2 linked regions of the Elephas maximus indicus genome follow. The protein of the gene in region 1 purifies or fractionates together with the protein of each later gene. This does not show direct contact. Links are inferred from orthologs where the notes say so. Each region holds a gene or a part of one and is shown on either strand. Other genes may lie near its edges.

The links.
Region 2: the proteins of S100A4 (region 1) and PPFIBP1 purify together in Homo sapiens (co-immunoprecipitation; 3 studies listed by BioGRID and IntAct, with this or other methods). This does not show direct contact. The link is inferred for Elephas maximus indicus from reciprocal best matches to the Homo sapiens genes S100A4 and PPFIBP1.

Annotation. Positions count from the first base shown.
Region 1 is NC_064821.1:191,393,943-191,408,925, forward strand, and holds S100A4 (protein S100-A4), read right to left. Parts: upstream 7,879-14,983; 5' UTR 7,790-7,878; intron 6,918-7,789; 5' UTR 6,903-6,917; coding exon 6,762-6,902; intron 5,826-6,761; coding exon 5,661-5,825; 3' UTR 5,527-5,660; downstream 1-5,526. Other genes in the region: S100A5 (protein S100-A5), read right to left, coding at 2,003-2,140; S100A3 (protein S100-A3), read right to left, coding at 9,523-9,687, 10,180-10,320. UniProt on the Homo sapiens protein: Calcium-binding protein that plays a role in various cellular processes including motility, angiogenesis, cell differentiation, apoptosis, and autophagy.
Region 2 is NC_064822.1:86,398,320-86,413,167, forward strand, and holds the start of PPFIBP1 (liprin-beta-1), read left to right. Parts: upstream 1-9,154; 5' UTR 9,155-9,189; coding exon 9,190-9,253; intron 9,254-11,806; coding exon 11,807-12,012; intron 12,013-14,848. UniProt on the Homo sapiens protein: May regulate the disassembly of focal adhesions. Did not bind receptor-like tyrosine phosphatases type 2A.

The sequences.
Region 1 (14,983 bases):
TTTGCCCCATCCAAAGATATAATATAGAATTTATACCAACGCCTAATGAAAATGGTGGACACCCTGGTGGCATAGTGGTTAAGAACTATGGCTGCTAACCAAAAAGTCAGCAATTCGAATCCACCAGATGCTCCTTGGAAACCGTATGGGGCAGTTCTACTCTGTCTTATAAAGTCACTATAAGCTGGAATCAACTCAAAGGCTTTTTTCTTAATGAAAATGGCACTAATTATGTGGCATCGAGAAGTATACAAGTCTCTGACTTATTCTGTCCCCTTTTAAGGGTTAACTGAGAATTAACCCCGACAAGACATCTTTGTGTGAGAACAGTGATTTGAAGCCAAAAAGCCACCCATCCCTCTGAGCTTGCTGGAGAGCTGGTATGGAGGCAGTACCTCTGCCTGGTCCCCTGCCCTCCCATCCACTGGGAGACAGGGCCCCAGGGTAGAACAGGAAGAAAATACAGACAAGCAGATCCTGCCCTCAGCTCAAGGATTTCCACAGGAGACAGAATGTCGGCACATACAGAGATGGAAACAGCACACTGACGTGATCCTTGCCCCGAGCCTGGGCTCCTATTATAGCCAGGCCCTCCCCCAGGTCTTTGTCCCCCTGTAATTAACCCCTGCTGGGCCCCTGGCCCCTCCCTCTGCCCTCATTAACTCCAGGATGCAGAGAACCTGGCAGGAAGGCCAGAGAGCAGGTCTGGTGACACCCATGCCTGCTTAAGTCCCCTGCCCATAGAAGCCTGCTCTGGGGAGCTTCTCTCTGAGGAGGCCCATCAAGGTCCAGGATGTGGGGTGAATTTTAAAGAGAAAAGGGAGGGTGGTGCATAGACCCGGCCTGGAATTTGGAATTTTGGCTCAGCCTCTCATTAGCCAAGTGTCCTTGAACCCATTACATAATGTATCTGTTATGGATTGAACTGTGTCCCCCAAAATATGTTTTAGAGTCCTAGCCCCTATGCTGTTGATGTGATCCTGTTTAGAAATAGGGTTTTCTTTGTTATATTAATTTGATCATACCAAAGTAGGAGGTTCTGAATGTAATCACTTCTGAGTTATAAAAAGAGCAGATTAGACACAGAAACATGTACATGGGAGAAGACAGATGCCATGCACGGATCACCAAAGGACCCAGGAACACCCAGGGCTACTGACAAGAAAGGAACTGACACGACTGAGACCCTGATTTGGACTTTTAGCTTCTAGAACTGTGAGAAAATAAATTTCTGTTTTTTAAAGCCACCCACTTGTAATATTTGTGTTACAGCAGCACTAGCTAACTAAGACAGTATCTGAGCATCGATCTTCTTAACTGTAAAAATAATATAGTATCTACCTCATGGGCCTCCCCTCTGTCAGCACCTCATCTGGTTAGAATCTGCTTTCCTGCTCTGTGTTCACTAATTAGCAGGACTATCATTTTGGTTCCCCTGTCAACACTATTTGAGAGCCCTCGATATGCCAGGCACATGGAGGAGACTCAGGCAGGGTCCCTGCCCTTAGGATGCGCTCCGCTCAACCTGGATGCCCTGGATTCCTTCATCCCCCACGATTATTTTCACAGGTTCTGCCACCACTAAGCAGCCTGGCCCCACCACCCCAGATTCCTTGCTCACTTTCTCGAACCCCTCACACAGGCGTAGCTCCATCCTCCAGACACAGACCCTCCTCACCAGTGAAACCCTGACCTGCCCCCAGCACAGAGACCTAAAGCTGTATTGACCCAAGATGTCCACTCTCTTCCTCTGTCTCTCTCCACAGCCTTCAGCCATCCTGCCCTGGCTTAGGCTCAAGAACCCTGAGGACAGCAGTGGATGTCCCTTCATATTGGATCTCTATGGAGACGAGGAGGCTGGGCCTCCTGCCTCACAGGGAGAGGCCTCTGGCAGTAGGATTGGTGTTAACTCTTTCTCTTTTTTTTTTTGGTCTCCTCCCCCTCCTGCTGCCTACAGGAAGCACCCAGACTTTGGAGTGGGGATGAGGGGATAGTCACTTACCTCCCCAAGACACAGCTCCTTCTTAATCAGCTCCTTTAGTTCCCTCCTACTCAGGGTCAGTTTGCTGCCCTCTCTCCCTGAATATTTGTGGAAAGTGGTAACCATGGTGGCCAGGGCCTTCTCAAGAGGAGTCTCCATCACAGTTTGCAACTCTGGAGGGTGAAGGACAGATCACATTCTTCAGGAAGCCAGATCTTGTGTTTCCCCCCATCAACAGCCCACCTACAAGACCCTCTTTCAAACAACCAGAGTCTAGACCCCATGGTGAGATGGAGGTCCACCAGCAACTGGACTCAGATGCATCAGGACAGGCTATGAAGAGACCAAGGCAAACCTTGGAGCAGCCAGAGTGATGAGACCAGCAGCCACCAAAGGAGACTGTAGACTCTCCTGCTTTGGAGATGTTTGAAAAAAGGGACTAGGGCAGAGGGATGACACATTGACCTCCTGAAAAGAACTGGTGACAGATTGTGGAGCACATAAAACATCAGGATTTTCTCTCTGCCCCATTGAGCTTGGGCACTGCTTAAGTCCCCGCCCCAGTCACTCTCCTTTGCCCCAGTGCCTGAATGATCTGATACTGGGGAGTATCCCATTACAGAAGTGGGGAACAGGGCAAAAAGAATCCAGGGGTTGGAGGGGGCTGGACCTGGAAAGAGAGATAAGGTCTCAACAGGAAGCAGGAGAGAGGCACTTGGGCTTGCCCAGCTGGTTTCCAATCTCTAGTCCAGAGAATTGCACACACATGAGCTGGCCAAGAGGCCTGGGGGATGGACTTATGCTTTGCCAGGATCATTCTGAGACTTGGATCCAGAGGTTGGGCTTAAATGGAGCCCTCAATTCCACCAGCACAGCCACCCCCATCCAAGGGAAGAGGCAGCTGGAGCTCCTATGGCTCAGACTTGAAAACCACTTCCCCCTTAGGGAGGAAGGAGGCAACACCCAAGAAACTTAGGGGCTGCAGCTAAGTGGAGGATACTGAGCAAGAAAGGAGAAGGTGCTGGATCTCACCCCTAGCCCAAAGCCCACGTGTAATTTTTTACCTCCCACTGCCCAGAAACCTCAGCTTCTCCCCACCTCAGGGAGACTCAACCAGGACCACAGTCAGAGGCAAGGGACTCTGGGCGTCTGCAGGGGTATCCTGGCTGGTTCTGATCTCCACCCTCACCTCCAGAGAATTTCTCAGGAAAGTTCTGGTAACCACAGTTCCACATACTCTAACCCATTCCTCCCTGAGCACACACCCACTTATCAGGCCAGACCTCCCTTTGCAGAGGGTCACACAGCTTGTCACCCTCTCATCTCATCTCCCAGCTCGCCCCACCGGATGATGGACACGAGAAGGAAGGACTCACCAAAGGAAGGAGCAAGCCCAGAGAATCGCAGCGGCAGAAACAGGTTCCCTCCCACTGCTCTCTGCCTTTATTCCCTTGCTCCAGTCCCCAGGAAACCAAGGACAAGAAAGGACCAATGAGAAGGGGTCAGGGACATGAAAAGGCCCAGGTCAGAGCCTCCTGGGATGGAGGTGAGGAGAAACCCCCTCCACCAATCTCATCTTGCTCGTTTACAGACAGACGGAATGGGGGCACTCTGAGTTCATCACGACACACAAGTCTTTGGAGCCAGAAACATTTTCCAATCCAAAAATCAGAACTCACAATCTGATGGGACAACCAGGAGTAAGGGGGGAAATCAGGCTGCCTGGAAAGAAAATCCAGGTGGTGTGGGTCAAACTCAGGGTGTCTCCCCATTCCCTAGACCGCTCTCCACATTGGGACACTACTACCCACCCTCCCAGTCACCCCAAGAGCGGAGCAAATGCACCTGGAGGTGGGGATCTGTGAGGGAAGATGTTTCCTGTCAAGGGCATGGGCAAGGTCACTGGCTAGTACAGAGCCTAAAGTATTTAAGGTGTTTTTAAAGAAACGATTTCTTCTAAACCTCACTGATGTTCATGGGAAAGAATTGTTGGAGACCCTTGGAGGACAAGAAGCAGGAATTGGCGAGGGGATCCAGGGAAGGGTTAGGACCTAGTGATGGGGCAGAGTCCAGGTTCAGGGTGCAGTCATGGATCAGGTAGGGAGAAGAGAGAGTTGCCCACATTCCAAAGAGGATAAGACACCAACCAGTCCGAGTATGAGACCATTACCAAGTTAGAAGCTTAGCAACCAATGGTTGCCACAGTATCACCTTAGCCTGCCTGGGACTTCCCCACTGCCCACTCTACCCTCACCCCTAGCTGGCAGGGCTAGAAAGGCAGCAGGGACTGGTTGCTAGGCAACAGGAGTTTCCGAAGCAGTGAGTCAAGCGGGAGTCCCTGGGGACGGCACAGGCTGGGGGAGGAGGAGTAAGGAGGGAAAGAGAAGGGGGAGAAAGCAAACTTTTTCCTGGATCAAAATTCTTCCCAAGTTTCCGTGGCCAAACTCTGAGGGAACCTCTGAGTCACCTACCGCATGTTTCTGAAACTTAAGAGAAAAACACAGTGTAATGAGTGGAAGAAGGAAAAGCTTGAGAGGTCAAGGGGACCAAACGCTGCCTCTGAACCTGACCTCGACTCATGTCTTCCATCAAGGTACGCGATACCATCCAGGCATGGCCTTGAGGTCCAACATCAATCCTGTCCACTGCACACTGGAACCCACTGGGTTTAACCTACCCTAATCTTTTTTTTTTAATCAAAGCAACATCATGCCTGACATTTTCTGGGAAAAAAAAATCTCAATTTCATTTATCAGATCATGTCCGAAGTTTTGTCTCAAAAAATATGGTCACTTCCCCACCATCTCCCTCACTCCCACCCTAGCCACCAATCTCCACTCATCCTTCCCAAGGCCCCTTGTCCTTCTCTGAAAGCCATGATCCCTAATTGGTAACAGATCTCATCCCATGGGACTTTGGAGCAGGGACAGCGGGTTGGAGAATGGCTATATTCTCATGCTGCTGCAAACAGCCCAATCTCTCTCTGTATCGCCTCCCTGATCCAAACATGGGCAGCAAAGGATTAATCCATCCCTGTGGTTTGAAGCCAGTGGACTGTAAATGTCAGGCCTGAAAGCCAGCCCTCTGGCTCAGGAAAACCTCCCCCACACACACCCCGGCCTCAGCTACTCCCTCCCCATGACTCAACTTTATTTCCTCCCTCCCCCCCCTTACCCTCAGGGCACCCAAACTCTTTTTCCAGACCCCCATCTAGGAGCAGATGTGACCTTCAAGCCCATCCCAGCCTCAGTTAGAGTCCCTGCCAGAGGCAAGGCTGGAACAGGATGGGAGGCGAGAATGGGCTGGCTAAGATCTCACAGTTGGGCATTCCAAGCTTCTGGTGGCCCCTTTCCCTGCCTTCAGCCCCATCCACAGTCAGCTGTCGCCTCCCACACACGCACACCCTCAGTCACTCCACGCCCCTCCCCCATCTTCACTAGTCAGCTCCCCATAAAACTGCACTTCAACTACCAGCACTGCCCACCACCATCCCACAAACCCTTACCTCCCCTGGTATCCCCCTTAGCCCCCAGACCAGCAGGCTCTTGGTTTTCAAGAATCTTTATTGAATTTGCTCCGCATCATGCACATGCTTAGAGGAGCCGGGGTAAGTGACCACCCCCACTGCCTGCAGGGGAGACCCCAGCCAGCAGAGCCCCCGACCACATATGAGGAACATTCATTTCTTCCTGGGCTGCTTATCAGGGCAGCCTTCAAAGAACTCGTTACACATCATGGCAATGCAGGACAGGAAGACAGAGTACTCCTGGAAGTCCACCTCATTGTCCTTGTTGCTGTCCAAGTTGCTCATTAGCTTCTGAAACGCAGCTTCATCCGTTCTTTTCTGGAGGAAGAAGAGGCTACAGGTAAAAACTGAAGCCCAGTGGAAGAGCCAAGACTAGAACCAGGTTTCCACCTCAAACTCAGAGCTCCAAAGGCTTACATAGCCACTCTCTTAGGGGTCTCGGCCTTTGAAACTCCAACCCTCAGGGCTAAGCTACAACAGGAAGAGGATGTCCCTGGGATGAGGAAGAGTTTCCTGAGTACCTGGATGTTGTCACTTGAAAAATGGGGCCACAACATCTTCTCCCAGGGTTAAGAATCCAATTAGTTTTCCTGAGGGGTTTATGTTAATGGTGGTAGAATAATTTGGAAATGAATCAATGTCATTGAATTATACATGTGGAAATTGTTGAATTGGCTTTGTTTTGTTGTGTGTATTTTTCACTACAATTTAAAAAAATTCAATTAGGTAATGGTCATGAAAGCAATACATAAACTGTATAAAGTTTGATACAAATGGAAGCTGTTATCATTTGGGGGAAGGTCTGTAGGGGTATGAGGTGTCTCCATAACTGTATCTTCACATTCACAGGACAAATTGAAATTCAAAGATCGTCCATTCCTGGAGTAGTCGCAAGACTCAGGCAGTCTGTTCAAATCTCAGTTTTGTGCTCTAGATGCCTTGGGAAGTTATTTTAGCCTCTTTAAGCTTCAGTTTTCCTTCCAGTTAGGTTATATAGTCAGTGCAAAACATCGCATAGTATCTAGGCCATCATCTACCTGTTCAGCCTCAGTCTGCTTCCTGTCTGGGACTAGTCAGTGAGTGGGGGTGTTCACTGTGCTTCTGCGCCAGGCATCCAATGCGAGCTCTCTGCCCCATCTCCCACTGCCCCGTTCCATAGCTAATGGTCTACAAAAGACCCATGCCTTCCAGGGCCTTGTCCTTCCTGCGTGGGAACTCCCCATGGGGGCATCCTCCGAGGTGGCACCTACTCACCCCTAAGAAGCTGGGAAGCTCCCGGGTCAACAGCTCCTTTAGCTCTGACTTGTTGAGCTTGAACTTGTCACCCTCCTTGCCTGAGTACTTGTGGAAAGTGGACACCATCACATCCAGGGCATTCTCCAGAGGGTGTGCCATGGCAGCTGTCAGGATCTGGGGGAGAGGCACCCTTATCTACCCCACCCCCAGCTATGTGTCCACAGTGCCCCACCCCACTCCCCATCCCTCTAGGATCCCTTGGTGAGATACTACTTCCATGGTGGGAGGAGCCCAGGAAGGTGGGCTCAGCTTCTAGGGGTGGAGGTGGGCATGTGGAGCAGGAAATACATGCTTGGAGTAGCAAACATGTGCAGGGCCCACTGCACGGGCTCTGGAGATTCAGGCTGGGTCTCCCCAGGGCGGTGGCTCAACAACAACGCTTTTTCCACAGCTCAGTCAGTTCATTCACCCCCAAAGCCAGCCCACAGCCTCCAGCCCCAGCCCATTCTTTTTGCTCCCAGTGCTGGGCGCGGCCCCTGGAAGCCTGCCCAGGGGCCCATAGCAGGAAAAAACCAGCCGCCTTGTGCCTGGTGTGAGGCAGGGCAGGACAAAGTGGCACAGACAGGGATTAGGAGGAAGAAGGGGAGGCGCAGGGCTGCATGGCTCCTTGCAGGGCTCACATGACACCACCAGACAGAAACCCACAGTTGCTTTCAGCCTCCATTTGCCTTACCACACCTGACCATGCACACACAGTCTCATGCAACCCAGCAAACACAAGCTAGTGTGCCTTCACATGGTCACGCACACACCAAACACACTGCAGCGACAGTGTATGCAACTCCCAGCATCTCAGCCCCCCTCTGACCTTTCTGTGTGTTTGTTTTTCTGTCTTACAAACACACACATCCCACCCCAGAGCCTCCACATCAGGATCTTACATCTGGATCCATTTACCATATCTGGCCCCCACCCACTTCCCCTTCTCCTGCCCCAGAGCCTTGGTCTGACACCTCTTTCATGCCAGTCAGGCGACCACAACTCACCAGACCAAGCGACAGGAAACGCTGAGCAGAGAGAAAGGGCTGGGGAGAGAGAAAAATGGGGGAAGCTCAGCGGTCTGACCTATTTATACCCTGGCCAGGCCCTGCCCATGGCAGGGGATGGGGGAGAGTGGAGACAGCCCTCCTGCCGTGGGCCCATGTGGTAAGTGCCACGGCCCCTCAACCAGCCCAGCCTGGACACAACCTTCCAGCCCCCAGCAGGCACAGATGGGCAGTGGGTGAGCACAGAGGGCACAGACAAGGACCTCCATGGGTGGGCACCACCCAACATATAGAGCTCAGCCCTTAGGAAGCCGGAAGGAGGGGCCTAGCATGTGCAGAGACAGGGAAGGAGTAGTCACCCCAGGCAGTAGGAAAGCTAGGGTTGGTGGGCGACAGATGGGAAATTCCCCTGGATATATGGCTGCCCAGAAACCAAGGGAGGGGAGCCCTAGGCCTAGTGCTGCAAGGAATGTCCCAAATGGAGCTCTACCAGGTTGAATAAGGCGGGGGGTCGGAGAACCAGAGGTCAGGAAGGGGAATGGACTAACCCAAAGGAGGCTGTGGGAATGCCTGAGGAATGTTTGCAAAGAAAGGTCCTGGGTGAGGCAGTGACAGTGAGGAGTGGGGAGCCAGGCATGAGCGCACAGGGATAGACTGAAAGGGGCTGGGGCTTAGGGGTAGACTGTCAGGATGGGGAGTTTAGAGTTCCAGTGGGTGTCAGAAATGAAAAATCCAGGTTGGGGTGGAGAACTGGAGGTGAAATGGTTCAGAATGAGGGAGTCAGGGGTCAATGTTAAGGTCCCAGGGTTGGGTGTAAGCTCAGGGATAAAGTAGCTTTGGCCTCAGGGATAGGCTTTCCTCAAGGTATCCCTTCCCCCTCCAGCTCAGGCTGGGAGCAGACACCTCAGACACCCTAATCCTATTACTACTGCCTTCTGGGCCACCACAGCCCAGATTGGGAACAAACACCCCACCCACCCACCCCCAACAGCCCCTCCCCTCCTGCTCAGAATATCCTGACTGGGCAGAGTTCAGCAACATGGTCCCCAAGGAAGCTTAGGCTGCCCTCCTGCCCTCCATGAAAGCCCAAGGGGACCTCTCCCTCAAAAAGCCCAGAGAAAGAGAGGCTTTCTCAGGTCCTCCCAGGACTGGAGTCCTGTGTGTGACCCTGCCCCACCTACTGGAAACTTCAGCCCCTTTCATTTCTATGGGGTCTGAAACTACCTTCAGGGTCCTCTGGGAACTCAGGGCTCCTCCCCTCAGCCTCCTGTCCTCATTGGAAAAGACCAGAAAGGAGCAACAATCTCAGCAGAAGAACCAAACCAAGTCCAGCTGACACCAGTTCTTTATTAGGAGTTAATAGGCCCTTTCCCATCCATGGTCTCCTGTGTGCCCATACTCTGCTGAGCCTTAACTTCCTCAAAACAGACTCCCACCTCTTCCCACCCTGGCCCACAGGCCCCAGGTAGAAGGTGCAGCCCTCAGAGGGCAGGATGGAGCCAGTCGCTGCTCTACCCACCACCAGGTGTGCATCCTTGGCAAGGTCCCTCAGATCTCTGAGCTTCCTTGTAAAATGGGTCAACGTATCAGGGGTGAATCTGGGGGACTCTAGACTGAAAGAGGTACAGGCCAGAGGGCAGGGAGGGGTATGGTGACCTGCCCAGGACCACCTCAGGGGCAGAGGTGGGCCAGACCGCTGCACTCCAGGCTGGCCCATTCCTCTGGAGCAGAGGCTACTGGGAGCAGGGAGGATCCGAGGGGCAGTCCTTGAAGTACTCATGGCAGTAGAGACAGAGGCAGGCTAGTGAACGCACGTACTCAGCGAAGTCCACCTCACAGTCCTTGTCGGTGTCCAGAACACGCATGAATTTATTGTAGTCACACTCTCGAAACTCCATCTGTGCAAGGGAGGGGTGTAGGGGGCAAGATGAGGAGGGCCAAGCAGCTTCATACACTCCTGTCCTCCCTCCCTTCCTAGGTGCTCCCACCCCATCCCAATCCACGTCCCTTGGGAGGGCCAGCCTCAGCCTACCTGTTCTGATGATGAGCCCATTTCAATCCCCCTCCCAAAACCTCCTTCTCACATCATTTATTGAACACCTACTTTTTGCCACTGAGTGCCTGCTATGAGCCAGACATTTTTCACAGTGCTCTCGGGCAATACTTGCAACAACCCTGCAGGCTGCAGGTGTGATGATTGTTCTTCCATTTCACAGACTAGGAAACTGAGGTTCCTGCTGTGTCAGTCCCCTTGCTGTCACCTCCATGCGGTCTAGCCTCCACCCTTCCTGCTGTCCTATGCTCATACTTGTCCCCAGGTCTCTCTTTACAGAATCCAAGCAGTACCTCCTCACTGGATGGGGAAGGAGGATGGGCCCCGGGCTGCTCACCGGGGTCCAGGTGGGCATCTCGTTCTGCAGCAGCTCCTTGAGCTCCGCCTGGCAGAGCTTATGCTTATCCCCACAGCGCCCTGCATACTCCCCGAAGGTACACACGATGGTAGCCACCGCCTGCTCCAAGGGTCTGGTCATCCTCACTGTCACAGAACAAGGGTGTGACTCACGGCGGAGGTCCAGGCCAGCCTCCCTGCTCACCTTGCCCTCTGCATTCCCCAGACACTGCTCCCAGACCATCTTACTCTCCCCTAGGCTTTGGGCCACAAGCTACCCCCTCTCTGAGCAGCCCTCTCTGACCACACCAATCAAAAAAAAAAAAAACCAAACCCATTGCCATTGAGTCAATTCCAACTCATCCTATAAGACAGAGTAGAACTGCCCCATAAAGGGTTTGCAAGGAGCACCTGCTGGATTCGAACTTCTGACCTTTTGGTTAGCAGCTGAGTGCTTTAGCCACTGTGCCACCAGAGCTCCCTGACCACACCAGCCCCTCCTAATTCATCTCACTACTGCCCCCTGGGTGTTATTTTCCTGGGTGGGAGTCTCATTTCCCTCATTTCACTGAAAACCCCTCAAAGACAGAGTGTCTGTCTGACCCTTCCACCTTCCCTCCCCACCAAGAGAGTCCCTCAGGACTCTCTGGTTCTCTCCCACCTTTACTCAGTCCCCAACACCAAGGAAGGGCCCAGCCCCACTCCGTAGGTGCAGCCCATGGCCCTAGAAGTCTCCTCCCTCAGGACCCAGAGTTCCTTCCCTACGAACTCGCCCAAGGAGACCCTCAGCCAGCGCTGCCTTATCCTCAGGCCCTTACAGACGCTGGGCAGTAGAAGGACAGTCAAGTCTAGGAGGACCCCTGCCGCCTCACCACCACTCCTCTAGTGATCCCTCTTCCCTCAAACTGAAGGAGGCTGCATCCAAAGGGAAAACTTCTAGAATCCTCTCTACCTCTCTCCTAACTGTGACAATGGTGCATTTATCCTATCTGGATCTCAGGTGCCTTACCTATAAAATGGAATTAATCCCACCCCACGGCCTGGTCAGGGACTTGACCCAGATGGCCAGCTCCAGCATTTACCAACCCCTGACCCTCCCACCCGAGACCATCCCCTGACCCAGGGATCTTGAGATAGAAGGCCCTGTTAGAGGGGAAGCCATTCCTGGAATTGCCCACCTCCTCCAATTCCGGTGTCCCCACCCAGTACTCTCTGGGAGGAGGCTTCTAGCCCGGGGAACCTAAGGCAGCAGGAAGGCAAGAGTTGTTCCCATGTGAGCCTAATGACTCACCCCTGGCTCCCCCAGGGGACGGGAGTCCTGCAACGAAGAGCAGCAACCACCAAGGCTCTCTCCTTAATGATTCACCCTTTGTGGGCCCTGTGGAGCAAATGGCCCACGTGGCTGGTGGGTGGCGGGAAGGCTTGGGTGGTACCAAAAACTGCCCGGGCTCTAACTCTGACAGCCAAGGATTAGAACAGGGTGTCCAGGAGCCCAGGATAGGAAGGGGCCATGATCCTAGGGGCTAAGGGAAACTCAGAGGTGTTCAGCATGCCCTTCTGGGCCCCCGCCAGCCTGCCTGGCACCACCACTGTTGCCATTCCAGAAGCTGGGTGCCTGGAGACTGGCTGGGAATCCTCTCTTTCCTGTGCAGCCCTGGCCTGTCTCAACCCGTCCCCAGGAATGAAGCAGAGAAGCAAGGAGGAGGCAGAGGGAGCTCACTGAAGGTAACGCCCACATTTCTAGCCCATGCCCCTACCCAGAGCCAGATCCCAGCTCTGCACACCTCCTAGCCCAACTTCCTGACAGCCGCTCACTGCCAAAGGGAACCCCCCAGCCTACCATATCTGACTTCTCTCACCCTGTCAATCCCTGCCATGGTCATCCTTCTGCCCCCATGCCCAGACCTTGATCCAGGAGAGAGGCAGGCCATTGGGGGCCCCTGAGTTTCCCCAACACCCTACCCAAGGCAGGACCCAAGCAGCTGGCACTCACCACTGGGTTGACGTTTCAGTTGTAGGAGCCTAGAGACAGGGCATCCCTATTTGTAGCTTCCCAAGAGAGGAAGGGAGTAATTATGGGGTACTCAACTAGGTCAGCTTTGGGGATGCCCTAGGGGCTCCCCGCCTCCTTCCTCAGCAGCCTCTATTACAGCCCTAGCTGCCCACCTGTTCATGAACACATCAAAGGCCCAGTCTGGGGTCTCAGACAGTGCCCCGTGCCCTCCCCCAGAGTCAGGAGCTGGGTGCAGCCTCCTTTTCTTTTCCTTCCAACGTGGTTTGGAGGACATAGGTTGGGCTGGTCCGTACATCCATCCTCCTAGCTCTTCACTCTGAGGAGATACCCCAAGAATACAAAGTGGGGAAACAATTTTCCCTCACTGAGCTGGCTCTCCAGAGAATCCCCTTGCCAGAGCAAGGACTTTCAGGAGAACCTGGTTGAGCCCTTTCACTTATAGATGAGAAGGCCGAGACCTGAGATATCCTCCCTGCCTAATCCCTAGATCACTTTTTCGGTGCTTCATCATTTTCTTTCGAATATGAACTGCTCAGTTCCCTGGGGAAAATCTTTGTGGGATTTCTTTGAGGTGTAGGATGAAGTCATAAAGATGTGTTCCTCCTAGTGCAATTGCAGAAGCTTGGGCTTAAGTTTCTTGCCCTCCCTTGCCCCACTAAGTGATACAGATGAATCTGGGCTGCTGTGTGTCTAGAGTTACTCAGGGGCTGTTTCCTTTCCTCTTCTGCTCTGTTTAGCACCAAGGCAACTTTTCTTGCAGTCCCACAGGGGTCAGGTGGGGTTTCCTCTGACTTTTAGCTTAAACGTGTAGCTCTCTGGGGTCCCAGCATTATGGAGGGCCTCCCATTTGTCTCCCCTCCTCAGGTGAACCCGAGGTCATTCCTCTCTGGCAACCATCAAAGCCAAGTTCAGGTGCCTTGGTTTGGCTGGTGCCCTCAGGGCCTTGGTGCTCTGGTCACCTCCTGGACTTGGCTTCCACTTCAGAGTGTGGCCTACTCATTTCTTACTCCCCTGTCAGCACTTTGCTGCTTCAAAAAAGACTTTGAAATTCTATCCAGCAATTTTAGTGGTTTTTCGCTGTTAGTTTTTTCCAGAAATGGAAATCCCTTCATAATGCTTCCCTAGTCTCTCCCCCATCCTCTAAGCCTGAGAGGCCCCCTGCCCGCTTCACAGGAAAAGAACCCAAGACCCAGAAGAGCATGGGAGAGGGAAAAGAGGTTGCCCCCATGACTCTGAAGAAGTCTTTAATGAGATTTTGACCTCACCTCAAGCACCCAAACCTTGCGGATACCATTATCTCCTTGAAGACTCAGCCCCACGTGCGTGATGGGAGAGAGCAATGGGGGAGGGAAAATGGGAGGGAGAGCTGTGATTAGCCTTGTTTTATAGGCAAGGAATTATGCGAAGGGGGGTGAGCAGAGACCAAAGGATGGTCACTCAGCAGACGTGAGGAAAACCCTGGACCAGCAATTAATTCAGATCTAGGTCAAGCACTTATTCCTGCCTATGTTTTTTTTTTTTATGATATTCTAGCTCTGCCCCCAGCCACCTCCCTTAAGCAGGCCACATCACTCTTTGGGTCTGTAATGGATTGAATTGTGTCCCCCAAAAAATGTGTCTCAAGTTGGCTAATCCGTGATTCCCAGCATTGTATGATTGTCCACCATTTTGTCATCTGACGTGATTTTCCTATGTGTTGTAAATCCTATCTCTATGATGTTAATGAGGTGGGATTAGCGGCAGTTATGTTACTGGGGCAGGACTCAATCTACAAGATTAGGTTTTGTCTTAGGTCAATCTCTTTTGAGATACGAAAGAGAAGCTAGCAAAGGGACGGGGGACCTCATACCACCAAGAAACCAGAGCCAGGAGAATAGCACGTCCTTTGGACCCAGGGTCCCTGTGCTGAGAAGCTCCTCGACTGGGGAAGATTGATGACAAGGACCTTCCCCCAGAAGCAACAGAAGGAGAAGGCCTTCCCCTGGCACCCCAAATTGGACTTCTAGCCTCCTAGACTGTGAGAAAATAAACTTCTGTTTGTTAAAGCCATCCATTTGTGGTATTTCTGTTATAGCAGCAGTAGATGACCAAGACAGGGTCTCATTTTCCTCCTTTGTCAGTGATGGAGGATAACAATGGCAACTACTTCAAAGAGTTGCTGTGGAACTTAAATGAGTGTTTACATACAAAGCTCATAGAAGAAACAGTGCCTAGCACATAGAAAGGGCTCAAAAAATGCTGAGAAGTTGGTAACTTGCCCAAGGTCACATAACTAGTAAGTAGTAGGCCTAAGATAAATTCACTGCTCGTATAAATATTTAGAGGTACCCATACTAGGCACTGCAAACCCTGGTGGAGCAGTGGTTAAGAGCTATGGCTGCAAACCAAAAGGTCAGCGGTTCGAATCCACCAGGCGCTCCTTGGAAACCCTATGGGGCAGTTCTACTCTGTCCTATTGGGTGGCTATGTGTCAGAATTGACTCAATGGCAATGGGTTTTTTGGTATACTAGGCATTGGAGCTCTGGTGGTACGGTGGGTAACAAGCTCAGTTGCTAATTGAAAGGTTAGAGGTTCGAGTCCACCCACAGGTGCCTTGGAAGAAAAGCCTAGCAATCTACTTTTGAAAAATCAGTCATTGAAAAGGCTATGGAGAACAGTTCTACTGTGACACACATGGGGTTGCCAGGAGTCAGAATTGATTTGACAGCACCTGAGGGTATAGATATAAACAAAATAGGTGAAGTCCCTGGTCCGAGGGAGATGACAATCCAGTGGGGAAAACAGACAATA
Region 2 (14,848 bases), on another chromosome or scaffold:
TAGGAAGAGGCAGGCTGCCCTTGTTTGCCTTGGTAGCCAGTTTCTACCAGGTCTGGGTGGGGCTTGTTGTTCCAAGGAGGAAAGACAGGCCTCTTAGACTCTAGTACGGTGGTTGAGCGTACATCAGAATCACCTGGAGGGCCTAAAAACTCAGGTTGCTGGACGCTGTCCCTCAAGTTTCAGTAGGTCTTTGTGGGGCCTAAGGATTTGCAGCCAAACGTAGAGAGCCACTGACTTTGCTTTTTCCATTTTTAAGACATTTTATCTTTTCTAAAGTTGTATTGCAGTATACAGTGGAAACTGGTGTGTAATGTATTAATGTCCCAAGTCAGCATCTTGGGAAAAAAAACTGGTGAGAAATGTGTGAGTAATTTATGTGAAAATATATTTTGTTTTCATAATTACCACAAAATGATATGGTGTTCTGCTCGTCTTGGTAGAATAGAGTGTATGTAAGCATTGTTTCTTTCTCTGGAAGGATTTCTTCTATTTTAAGTGTCTTAATCTCAGTGAATTGTATTTGTTTCTGGGCAACAAGTTCCAGTTCACTTTCAAACCTAAATATTTTATACCTCTGGAAAGCCAAAAAGGCTAGGACAAATATCCTCACAAATGTTTAAAACAAACTTGCTAGTTTTCTTATGGACATTCTTTTCTTCTTCACAGAGAAGCTGGACAGCTAACCTGACTTAAAATACCAGTTAGCCAGAAACCCTGCAGAAAATTGTGATTTTTCTGCCAAACCTTTAGTCACCACACCCATTGCTGGAACTTTCTCTCCCTGATACTGTACCCTATTCAAACCTGCTCTAAAAGGGCCCTGACCAAGCTTGAAATATATCCTAAATCACTTACACTCAGCTTCCTTTAGGCTGTTTTTTTTGTTTTTGTTTTTCTTGGTCTTCAGTATATGAATGTTGTCTCAAGGAGAGGAGTCCTGGTGCTACAGAGGTGAAATGCTTGGCTGCTAACCAAAAGCTTGCAGTTCAAATCCCCAGCCACTCCATGAGAGAAAGATGTGTCAGTCTGCTTCCATAAAGATTACATACAGCTTTGGAAACCCTGTGGGTCAGTTCCGCTCTGTCCTGTGGGGTTGTTATGAGTCAGAATTGACTTGATGGTAGTGGGTTTGTTTGTTTGTTTGGTTTATTCCCAGGAGACTGCCTTTCTAAGATTTTCCTACAATTTTTTTTACTAAGCTGTTGCAATAGGAAACCACTAGACAGAGGACTTCTGAAAAACAGATGAGCTTCTCTGTTTACATCACCCAACAAATAAGGGGCTTTTCCAGTTTGGATGGGGCTTAATTCCTTAGTTGTTGTGGGAGTTCTATTTCCTGGTCCTGACCAAGCTTGAAACATATCCTAAATCACTTACATATAGCTTCTCTTGGGTCATTTTTTCCCCCCTCTTGGTCCCTTACTAGAATACATGGATGATGTTAGCAAGTCAATCAAAGCAGTATAGATTGGCCACTTAGAATCCAGAGGTGAGTTTGTTATCTTGTGGAAATTATTGATATTGAGACTTTAACTTTCTAATAGTTTCATCTACCCAAAAGACCAAACTATAATCAGCAGGTTGCTGGGTGAACAGAGAATTAGAACTAAAGGAGCAGGATATTTTGGTGCATATAATTGGATAAATCATTATGCCTGATTTATGACATATTGTCATTATAGGTCCATGCATGTCCTACTTATATTCATCCATTTATTTTTTTTTAAATAATTTTTATTGTGCTTTAAGTGAAAGTTTACAAATCAAGTTAGTCTCTCACATATAAGCTTATATACACCTTAGTCCATACTCCCACTTACTCTGCCCCTAATGAGTCAGCCTGTTCCCTCCTTCCAGTCTCTCCTTTGGTGACCGTTTTGCCCGTTTCTAACCCTCTCTACCCTCCCATCTCCCCTCCAGACAGGAGATGCCAACACAGTCTCAAGTGTCCACCTGATGCAAGTAGCTCACTCCTCATCAGCATCTCTCTCCAACACATTGTCCGGTCCCTTCCATGTCTGATGAGTTGTCTTCGGGAATGGTTCCCGACCTGGGCCAACAGAAGGTTTGGGGACCATGACCGCTGGGATTCTTCTAGACTCAGTCAGACCATTAAGTATGGTCTTTTTATGAGAATTTGGGGTCTGCATCCCACTGTTCTCCTGCTCCCTCAGGGGTTCTGTGTTGTGCTCCCTGTCAGGGCAGTCATCGGTTGTAGCCAGGCACCATCTAGTTCTTTTGGTCTCAGGATGATGTAAGTCTCTAGTTCATGTGGCCCTTTCTGTCTCTTGGGCTCATAATTATCTTGTGACCTTGGTGTTCTTCATTCTCCTTTGCACCAGGTGGGTTGAGACCAATTGATGCATCTTAGATGGCCGCTTGTTAGCATTTAAGACCCCAGAGCCACTCTTCAAAGTGGGATGCAGAATGTTTTCTTAATAGAATTTATTTTGCCAATTGACTTAGATGTCCCCTGAAGCCATAGTCTCCAAACCCCCGCCCTTGCTCCGCTGACCGTCGAAGCATTCAGTTTATCCCGGACAGTTGAGCTGACCTTCCCTGTATTGAGTATTGTCCTTCCCTTCACCTAAAGAAGTTCTTATCTACTATCTAATCAGTAAATAACCCTCTCCCACCCTCCCTCCCCCGTCTTGTAACTACAAAAGAACGTGTTCTTCTCAGTTTATACTATTTCCCATTATCTTATAATAGTGGTCTTATGCAACATTTGTCCTTTTGCATCTGACTAATTTCACTCAGCATAATGCCTTCCAGGTTCCTCCGTGTTATGAAATGTTTCACAGGTTCATCACTGTTCTTTATCGATGTGTAGTATTCCATTATGTGAATATACCATAATTTATTTATCCATTCATCCGTTGATGGACACCTTGGTTGCTTCCAGCTTTTTGCTGTTGTAAACGGTGCTGCAATAAACATGGTTGTGCATATATCTGTTCGTGTGAAGGCTCTTATTTCTCTAGGATATATTCCGAGGAGTAGGATTTCTGGATTTTTTTTTTTTTTAATGGTAGTTTTATTTCTAATTTTTTAAGGAAACACCAGATAGATTTCCAAAGTGGTTGTACCGTTTTACATTCCCACCAGCAGTGTATAAGAGTTCCAGTCTCTCTGCAGCCTCTCCAACATTTATTATTTTGTGTTTTTTGGATTAATGCCAGCCTTGTTGGAGTGAGATGGAATCTCATCGTAGTTTTAATTTGCATTTCCCTGATTCATCCATTTATTTCATTTAAAAAATATTTCATTTCTAATTTTTAACAATTATTTTTTCTACTAATTTTTCTTTATTTGAGGTAAAATTTACATACAGTGAAATGCACAGATCTTAAATGTACAATTTGATGAATTTTGACAAATGTATAAACTTGTATAACCAAAACCCCAATCAAGATATTGAACAGAAAGTCCCCCCAGTTTTCTTTCAACTCATTCACCACTTGCCACAGGGAAATATTGTTTTATTTTCTATCACCATAGGTTTGCCTGTTCTTAAATTTCATATAAAAAGAGTCACATAGTAATTACAATATGTACCTAGTGTGTACATGTTGCTGAAAAAAATTAGCATAGCACACTTATGAAAATACCCTCCAGGGGAAGGGCATGGTTGGCAAACATAGAAGGCATGCCTTATTTGTGTGAAAATCAGTAGTCTTTTGTGTCTGACTTCTTTTGTGCAACATAATGTTGTATGTATCAGTAGCTCAGTCTTTTTTTATTGTGGAGTAGTATTCCATTGTATTCATATATCACAATTTGTTTGATTTGGATTTATTATAACTCAAGTATGGGAGAAAGGCCAGGGGAATCTTGCTCTCAGATATATTTCCTCTCAGTTGCTATCTGGTCAAATCTGACTCATGGCAATCCCATCTTTTTAAAGCATGAGGTTTTTTGAAGCTGTCTTTCCTTTTTTGGAAACTTTGAACCAATCATGAAAATTAGACTGCCTATAAAATAACTCAAGCCAGAGTCAAGGTCAGAATTTTAATAAATAGGGAGGTTCTTTTCATGGTGTTAGTACTTTATCACTTCAGGTTGCCTTTTTTATTCCTGTGTGAAGTTCTTTAAAACCCTTTTGAAATTTAGTGAGACTTATTTTGTGGCCTTGTATACATGGCCTGTTCTTGTTACTACAACATGTGTATTTGTAAAGAATATATGTTTTGCATGTTGGTGTTTTGTTCTATAGATTCAAGTAGGCCAAGGTGGTTGATTATGTTATTCAAATCTCTGATATTATTCCTCTTCTTGTTTTTTCCTAGTTTGTCTACCAACTCAAAAGATGATTGAAAAAGCAGAAATAAATGACAGATGGGACAAACAGAAAAAAATAACAGGACAATAGACTTAACCCCAATCATATTAATAATTATATTAAATATAAATGGATGAAATTTGTCTAATTATTCCTTAATTCTGTCAGCTTTTGCCTCATGTATTTTGAAGTGTGCAGAAACATTTGTGATTGCTATGCCTTCGTGATGAATTGACTCTTTTAACATTATCAAATGTCCTGCTTTATTTCCAGTGATGCTTGATTTGAAGTCTAGTTTTTGTTATGTTAATATAACCACTCCTGCTTTCTTATGCTTTCTCTGTGCATGGCTTCTCATTTTCCATTCTTTTACATTTATATTTCTTCATACTTAAAGAACACCTCTTATAAACAATATATAAAAATATATATACTCAGGGTTTTTTGTACATGTGTGCTGGTATGACAGTCTCTGGCTTTTATTAAAATGTTCCATGTATATTTAATGTAATTATTTATATAGTTGAGTTTAAGTCTACTGTCTTGCCGTTTGTTTTCTGTTTCTCTCATACGTCTGTATTACCTTCATTTCTGCCTTCTTTTGGATTGAGTATTAAGGTTGCCTTTCCTGTTCCTCCTCCCACCACTGCTGCAGCCCAGACTGCTCTGTGGCTGCTACCGTGGGAGGAGCTATGGTCTCAGGCCTGGCCATAATGCACAGGCCGCCCTGGCCGAGTGGGGCAGTGGCCTCGCGGGGCATCCCCTTTGGTGCTGTGGCAGCATCTGCATGGTCCCTGCCAGAGGTGAGCACAGTGGGACAGGCATGTGTGGATGGGCATTGGGACCCCTCCCTCCTGCCGCCCCAGGGCCGGGGTTGACACAGGATCCAGAGAGCTAGTGAGGGACATCTAGGATCTACAGTACTTACTAAAGTACCTCTGCTATGTCCTGTTCTCTGATCAGAATCTCTGAGCTCTGTTATAACCTTATGGGACCTTGGATGTTTGTGTGGTTGGACATTGCCCGGATGGACGTTATGCAGCACATACCTGTATATCTTTGTTTTATAGTTTCAGTGGATTGCATTATATATTCTTAACTTATTATCCATCTATCATGAACTAGTATTAAACATCTTCATGTATAATGTAAGCATTCAACAATACTATACTTCCACTTAACCCCCTTCTATCCTTTGCATTATTTTTGCCATATATTTTACTACTCCATATACTAACAGCCTTACAGTGTATTTTCCTCTTTAAATTGTCAATTGTATTTTAAAGTAAAAAAGAAAAGGAAAATGATTTTAAAAAAATTTTATAAACATATTTATATTTTCTGTGTTTACTATGTACTTTTCATTCCTTTATGTAGATTTAAGCTTCCACGTGGTATCATTTCCACCCAATTTGAATAATTTATATTTGTTTTTTTTTAAATAGTTTTCTTTTCGCTTCTAAGATTCTCAAACTGTTCACTCGTTATCGTCATCTTTACCTTTTAAGGCCTTGAACATGTTTATCATAAGCCCATTGCCATCAAATCAATTCTGACTCATAGCAACCTTACAGGATAGAGTAGAACTTCCCCATAGAGTTTCCAAGGAGCGCCTGGCGGATTTGAACTACTGACCCTTTGGTTAGCAGCCGTAGCACTTAACCACAACTCCACCAGGGTTTCCATAGGTGGTCTAGCTTTGTGGTACTCCAAGTTGCACTCAGCCGATCCTAGTCTACTACATAATAAGTATAGCGATTGAGAGTTTTTATAAACTTTTATAGCAATTTAATATTGTCACAATATTTTTATATATTAAAAGAAGTATTGGTTTTTAATGAATTAGGGAAAAAAAAAAAAAAACTGGTTCTTCATCAGTTTGAAAAGTGCAATTTAGGTTGTCCCGTGCCTCTATATCACAGCATTTGAAAGTCTCGTTGAAAGAACAGAGAAGAAATAGATAACTACCTATCATACTTGTAAAAAATGCTTGTACTCTATGCAAAATACAGCTGCTAACAAAGACACATATTTTTCTGATTTTGTGAGGTGGTGAGAGTGTTTTTCTAACACGGGTATTACTCTGTTTTATTGGTATCCGCCATGTTTATAGCTAAGCCTGGCATGTGTCCATTTGTTTTTAATATGTGTATATCAGAATATCTAGAGCTCTTTGAAGTGCTACTTTTAAAATGAAAGGGAGTAAAAGCCACTTAATTATATGAAATTCAGGTAGCTTGCATTCTTCGGCTTGATCCTTTGTGTTCTCCATTATCACATTCTGAGTTTTCCAGCACGAAGGCAGTTGTTGCTTTTGTACCCTCTCCCTTTGGACTGTGCACTAGCTGAACGTGCAAGTAAGGTTTTGAAAACTATCTGGGTTAAACCCCCACCCTCATTTTCCCCCACCCAGTGGTTTCTGAGTGACTTTATACAACTGCCTTGAGCATTTTTATACTGTAGTTTTCCCACATAAAATGGTGGTGATAATTTACACCTTTTGAAGTGAGTAAATTTCTAGAAAACTCTTAGATGAAACTACTGTAAAATCAAAGTAAGATTTCACAGTGATTATATGGCATTTTACTAGATTGAATGCATAGTAGAGAACTGAGTGAGATGCTGTTTACTCGAACTGTATGTATATTTATGAACATAAAGTGGTAGGTGAGATCGGGCTGCTTAGAAACAGGACAAAGGTTTCTGTTAAACAGCATACTTTTTCTTTACCAGGTCATTGCTATACCACGGTGTCTGCAAAGAGGAGTCATCTTATTCAGGCCTGTTGGGAGAATATACATGGATGCTTAGTCTGCTACTTGAAATGTATTCATTAATGTTGAAAGTCACATAATCTTAACTTTTCCTTGTGAATGACCAAATTTTTTGCAAGAGTGATTTCAATATATTTTTTAATGCTGTTTTTAATAATTTATTTTTTTATTGTTTTTTTAATTAACTTTTATTGAGCTTCAAGTGAACATTTACAAATCAAGTCAGACTGTCACATATAAGTTTATATACACCTTACTCCGTTCTCCCACTTGCTCTCCGCCTAATGAGTCAGCCCTTCCAGTCTCTCCTTTCGTGACAATTTTGCCAGCTTCCAACTCTCTCTATCCTCCCATCCCCCTCCCCCCCCGACAGGAGATGCCAACACAGTCTCAAGTGTCCACCTGATATCATTAGCTCACTCTTCATCAGCATCTCTCTCCTACCCATTGTCCAGTCCCTTTCATGACTGTTGAGTTGTCTTCGGGAATGGTTCCTGTCCTGGGCCAACAGAAGGTTTAGGGACCATGACTGCCGGGATTCCTCTAGTCTCAGTCAGACCATTAAGTATGGTCTTTTTGTGAGAATTGCGGGTCTGCATCCCACTGATCTCCTGCTCCCTCAGGAGTTCTCTGTTGTGCTCCCTGCCAGGGCAGTCATCGGTTGTAGCCAGGCACCATCTAGTTCTTTTGGTCTCAGGATGATGTAAGTCTCTAGTTCATGTGGCCCTTTCTGTCTCTTGGGCTCTTAGTTATTGTGTGACCTTGGTGTTCTTCATTCTCCTTTGATCCAGGTGGGTTGAGACCAATTGATGCATCTTAGATGGCCGCTTGTTAGCATTTAAGACCTCAATATATTTTTAAACAGGTAGAAAGATGAATAGATTCTGACACAATTTCAACATGAAATAGGCCCCGTGATCCTTCATTTATACTGTCAAAGTCTGTGAAAACACGGAGATTTATTGTTTCTGAACACTTGCCCAGATGAGATCAGATTAACAGAAGTTCGATATTGTAGTGGAAATTAGACAGATCTAGGTTAAAATGAGCTTTGTTATATTTACTTGCTGTGTGTTTATGCAAAACTCAACAAATGTCTTTGGTCTTTATCTATAAAATGGAGATAAATATATCCATTTTATAGAGTTGTCACTATTAAAGATTATGGATAAATTATATGAATGTATAGAGACCATTGTAGGCACTCAATACATGGTAGGTATTGTTACATTGGAGCCCTGGTGGTGAAGTGGTTAAGAGTTTGGCTGCTAACCAAAAGGCTGGCAGTTCGAACTCACCACTGCTTCTTGGAAACCCAATGGGGCAGTTCTGTTCTGCTCTGTCCTGTAGGGTCACTGTGAGTCGGAATTGACTTGATGGCAATGGGTTTATTGTTACATTCTAAAATACCAGTATGTTTGTATATGTGTGTGTTTAGTATATATGTGAGTGAAGCTGTTTTCTTAGACAGATCTTATGGTAAACCCTAACACAAGGGAAAAAACCAAAACCAAATCCATCGCTGTCGAGTCGATTCTAACTCATAGTGACCCTGTAGGACAGAGTAGAACTGCCCCATAGGGTTTACGAGGAGCAGCTGGTAGGTTCTAACTGCCGACCTTTTGGTTAGCACCCGAGGTCTTAACCATTGCACCACTGGTGCTCCAATAAAAGGGAAGGGGTAGCAAAGTTAAGATAGCAGAGATTGAGTGGGGCTGGTGCAAGGAGAAGGAAGTCTTGTCTACTCAGCAGTCATGGTCCTCAGCAAGATTCCATAGCCATTCCCAAAGCACTTCAGAGAGTCCTAGAGCTCTACAGAATATAGCGTGAAAAGCATTCTATTGAGTTTTAAATACCTTGAGTACAAGGACTGAAACTTTAACTGATACAGATGTAGCCTGTGGTCTTGCAGTACAGTAGATGCTTGACCACGGCTTGTTGAATGATTCAGTTAACTCAGCTTAACTACTTTAGAAGTCCTGTCTTCAGATATGACTGCTAAGTGGAGTTATAATTTGAAGTTGAATCAGCAAACCTGCTAGCAATAGCAAGCATGTGTTATTTAAAGGATGTAATGATAACATCATTATTTTTTCAGATCTAGGTTGGAATTTGCCATTGAAATATAAGAAAATGATGAGTGATGCAAGTGACATGTTGGCTGCAGCGTTGGAACAGATGGACGGTATTATAGCAGGTAATCCATGTCTTCCAGAAGCTGGAATCATGGCATGTACTCAGCTCTCTTGGCTTTTTCATTACAACTCTCTTATTATCTTCCTATCTTCTTTCTTGTTTCTGTGTTTTGACTCTCTCCAGTGCCTTTAGGTTCCCTATGGTTTCATCTTTTCTGCCCTTTTCCATTCTATACCAGAATTATCCTCAAGCATTAGTTTAAAATCCAAAATCCAATTAAAATCCAATTCCACCCTAGCTTCTGATCAATGATAAAGAATCTGCATCTTGATGATTCTGGTACAGTGGTCTGTGGGCTGCGCCTGGAAGGACACTTCTTTACCTAGTATCTATGCATGTTCTGATCTGCTTCCTTGAACTCAACATTCACTTTTCCTTCAGTGACTCTCTCATCCATATCTTTGACTTTCCCAATTCTTTGCTAAGCTTCAAAATTCTTTGCTATCTCTAACTGCCAACCAGATATCTCTCCTGAAATGTCCTGTAGGTACATCACTGTCATCATTTAACACATTAAGGTCGTTATCTTTCCTTGGAAGCCTTTCTGTTCATAACCCTTCATCCACATAGTTTCTTAAACAAGAAATTTAAGTCGTTCCAGATACTTTTGTCCCTCATGCTCCACATTTAATTAATCGAATTCTAACATTTCTACCTCCTCCTAAAATTCTGCCTCTTCCTTTTATCCTTTCTAGAATCTGTCCTGTCTGTGCTACCATTGTCTTGGCTTGTCCAAGACACCCACCCACTCGATGTCCGGATATTCTGGCTTTTCCACTCTAGTCCATTCTTTCCTAGACCACCAGACATCACTTTCTAAAACACAGACTTGGTTGGATTACTCCCTGGTTAAGAATCGTCAACAGTTTTCTATTGTGACAGCAGAGCAAAGATCACTACATCCTTGTTTGCTCATCATGGCAGAGGGGGTGACAAGTAGGTGACCCCCTTGCAGTGGTGGCTTCTCCTGAGGAAAGTGGCATGTCATAGTTTGACCTTATCTGTTATACTCTGTCCTAGAGACCAGACTTCAGTTGAATCTCCTTTGCATATTAGACTGCACATTGAATACTGTATTCAGTTTTTGGAATATTGTTTTCAAAGGGTTATTGGCAAGCTAAAAGTTGTCTAGAGGTGGCAAACATGATGGTGAAGAATAAAACAGTCACATTAGTAAAGATCATTTGAAGGAACTAGTTAAATGTAATCTAGAAAACTGTTCTTACTTGGGGCATGATATATGTTTTCAAACATTGAAGGGCTATTTTGTGGAAGAGAGATTGAACTGACTCTTCTAGGATATCTGAAAATATAACTAGAATCAATTCTAGGCTTTTGCCAGAGAGTATAACCTTACATTCTTAGCAAAACTCTGGTTGAGATAAGTGATTTTTTGGAGCATTATTTGAAGGATTTACGATTTATATATTCTCCTAGATTTTTTTTTTTTTTTCCTAGATGCCTTGTTGTGGAGGGATATGGGCATATATATTTATAGTAATCTCGTCAGTAATGCTAATGCTTAAGAACCACTGGAATGGGACTTGTATGTTTTAGTAAACAAGTAGTTTGTATATTTGACACATCAGAATGGGCTATGGATTAGCAGTGTGAATTTAAGTAGTATGGTAGAATGGTTTCATTGGAAGTAATAGAAAGCTAACTATATAAATGTTTTAACTATAAAACTAACCGTATAACTATTGTTAAAAAAAAGCTGACATTAACAGTAGCCTTTTTGAGGTTTAGGCTGCAAACAAAATCATGGGGAAAAGTATTTATACAAACATGCTCACACACACATACACATGTAATTCATTGAACTTCTTCAGAGATTAAATTCTGGTAAATTAACTGGAAACTGGCCTTCTTTTCTTACCTTTGAAATTATGCTATGCAGTTTCCACTTCAATGTGTAACTTTTTTAAAAGAGTTTAAAGACTTCCTGGTCCCTAAAATTTGTGTTTTCTGGAATGCGTAGCTCCATACAAACTGACCTGCCTCCCTCCGTCAGAGGTTTTCAGGTAGAGGCCAGTGTACTTCTTGCCAAAACCCACCGTACCTTTTTTCTGCTTAACAGTTGGCCTTTCTGTTAGGGATTGGACTATTGATTACAGCTGATTCTCATTGTTCGTGTAGTTATGTTCTGTAAATTCCTACGAACGTTGAATTAGTGAATACCAAACCAGGGTTGTACACTGAGCTCCTCAAATTTTTTGCCGCTCTCTGAGTGGACGTATCTGTGAATGACCACGAAAGCACCATGGGTATTGATTTTGGGGTTACAAATAAATTTTAGTGAGTAGGCCAGTTGGCAAATATGAAATAATGAGGATGGACTGTATATGGTATATTTTTGTACCATATAACTATGGTGTGGAGGGGGATTTACATGATTGAATTATTATCTGACCCCCCCCCCCCCGTGTTTTTTTCCCGTTCTTTGTTTTGGTTTGATTGTTCCTTATTGTAATTAAACTTGTTTACTATCTTCAGCTCTGGCGTTTTATCTAATGTAAACCCCATCGCTTTCCTTGTGATATTTTTAACCTAGGTTCTAAGGCCCTGGAATATTCTAATGGGATTTTTGATTGCCAGTCTCCCACCTCCCCATTCATGGGAAGCTTGCGAGCACTGCACCTTGTGGAGGACCTGCGTGGATTGTTGGAGATGATGGAAACAGATGAGAAAGAAGGCTTGAGGTGCCAGATCCCAGATTCAACAGCAGAAACGCTGATGGAATGGCTTCAGAGCCAAATGGTAGGTGTCTCTGCATGTTAAAAGCCCCATGCTGTGAATCTTTTGTCACTTATTCTAAAATTTAGAGGCTAGAGTAGCTGATTAGAACAAGAGAAAAAAAATTATAGTACAACAGCTTTGTTTTAATTTTATCCCTTATGTGATCCCAGTTCCCTTTTCACTCTAAGGAAAATTTTTTTAAAGTGCTGTTAGGCCGCCTGATTCTGCCCATAAAAGTGGACTAGCTTTTAGATTGTGTCTGAGTGACCTACTGTGGCTAAAACAAATAGTGCCATAAGGGACAAAGTTTGCACATAATAGATACTTTCTTAGTAATATTGGGAAGTTTACTGTAAAGGGACTGAGAGCAACTCTTTTTTTTTTTTAAATTAACATCTTGCATTCCTGTGGTACATTTGTTACAGTTGATGAACTGATACATGATTATTAACTAAAGACCTTAGTTTACTTTAAGGTCCACTCTTTGTGTTGTAGAGTCCTATGGGTTTTGACAATCAGGCAGACTATTTTTTTTGGTGGCAATAATATACAACCAAACATACCTCCATTCACAATTTCTACATGAACAGTTCAATGACACTGGTTACATACTTAACATTGTGTCACCAGTCTCACTATCTATACCCATATTGGGAACCCTGGTGGTGCAGTGATTAAGTGCTCAGCTGCTAACCAAAAGGTGGGCAGTTAGAATCCCTCAGCTGCTCCTTGGAAACCCTGTGGGGTAGTTCTGTTCTGTCCTATAGGGTTGCTATGAATATGGAGCTCTGGTGGCACAGTGGTTAAGAGCCTGGCTGCTAACCAAAAAGTCGGGAGTTTGAATCCATCAGCTGCTCCTTGGAAACCCTATGGGGTAGTTCTATTCTGTCCTGTATTGTTACTCTGAGTCAAAATCAACTCAACAGCAGTGGGTTTTTTTTTTTTTTTAATACCTATATTGCCTCATCGCCACTAATTTAGCTGTCTGTCCATTAAAGTTCTCATCTGTATCTATATGAGTTCAAATTGACAGCAGTTAACCCAATAGCCATTCTAGATGGAAAAGCATAATGAATAGATAATAGAGGCTTGTAGGAGTATTTGATGTAAAGTGCCATCTAGTGGTTCTTGGCAATCATTTCAATTCCGGTGCGCAAGTTAAGTTGTGGAGGTGGATTTTAAATGGTGCCCTTACTCACAGAACAGCAAGGCCTGTTCTAGGCATCCTTCTCAAAAACAGATGGCATGACAGAGCTGCCCTTTCTCTAATCACATTGGTAAATGCCCTGGTTTTAATATGTATCGAACACATAAAATGTAAAGAAGGTTACAAAAGCATATTCAAAGGAGAAGATGGAAAAGATGGCAGTTTGTAAGTATTTAAAGGAATCTTCAGTAAGATGCATTACTATGCTTATGAATTAGTTGTGTTTATAGAAAAGCTAATGCAAATCGTATGAAAGAATTAGGACCTGTTTTTGGATCTCTGGTGGAAATGGAAACTATTTGCTTTGGGAGACTTAATAGTACCTCCTATAGCTAATTTTTTTTTATAGCTAATGCGTTTTTGTGTGATATAACACAAATCCTGGTGTTCATACCAGTCTTCTCCTGAATGTTCTTTTGTTCCCATCCAACTTACCTCTGTATTCTGAGTGCAAATAGTACAATCGATCTTTTAGTGGTGGTGTCCCTACATAAACTTGACAATTGTAGATATTTTTTATTACATGGTGCCTCATTATTCAATTCTGCAAGCTTCCCCTCTACAGATTTAAGGATCCAAGTTTGCTGACTTCTTGGGGATTGCTTCATGCTCTGAATCTAGGTGTTTAGATGCATTTTTTCCTAGCCTCTGTCTACTTCCTTCTCATCCCTTCTATACCCCATATTTTTCTGACCATTCATTATAAAGTGGGAAAGAGATTTTCTGTTGAAAAAGAATCTGTTTCTAACCCATATCCAGAGGCCACCAAGCTAGCCATAGCAGAAGGGTACCTATGGTTGCATTTTTGACTTGTATCTGAAATATATTTATTAACATGCACTCAGTCTGTTCTATTAAAGTATTTCTGGAAAAGATAAAAGGTGATGATGATGGTATCTGGCTATAAGTCAGATCATGTCACTTATTCCTTTTTGACATGTCTCCAGTGGCTTCTCCCCTTACTCAAGAGTAACAAAGCGTGTTATTTCTATCTTAGCACTTACCACGTTCTTACATGCTGTGTTTTTTGCCATGTTTATATTTATATCATTTATGTTCTGTCTCTGCAACTGGACTGTAAACATCATAAATCAGGAATTTTTGCCTTGTTTAAAAACAAAACAGCTCACTCTATTCCTGGTGCCGAGAATAATGCCCGGCATATAGTAGATGATACTCAGTAATTACGTTTGTGATGATGTTTCACAAATGATAAAATCAGATTCACATTTGAGTGAACCGAAGTTGTTTGTTGTGTTAAATTTATTCCTTGGGTGGATAATAACTTGTTGGCTTGTGGTTTCGTTTGCTCCCTGTTTTAATATTTAATGTCTTAAAATGAAGTATCTACAAAATGGCAAATACTTTACACAACTTTTTAAGATTCCGTTTTCATCCAAAAGCAATAACACAACAAGCAAACAAACAAAAAACCCAAGATGTTGATCCAGAGATAATTCTTTTTGGCACCCATTTTTTGTTGTTGTTGCTGTTAAACTTGTTCTATGTCTGTCTAGTCTTCCGTCTTGACTCTTGCCCGTTCAAATTAAGTGTGCTTTTTTTTTTTTTCAAACACACTGTGAGTGAAAGAAGATGGCAAAGGGCAAAAAGTAAACTGGGAAAGAGAAAGCAGGAATGATTGTTTGGTGA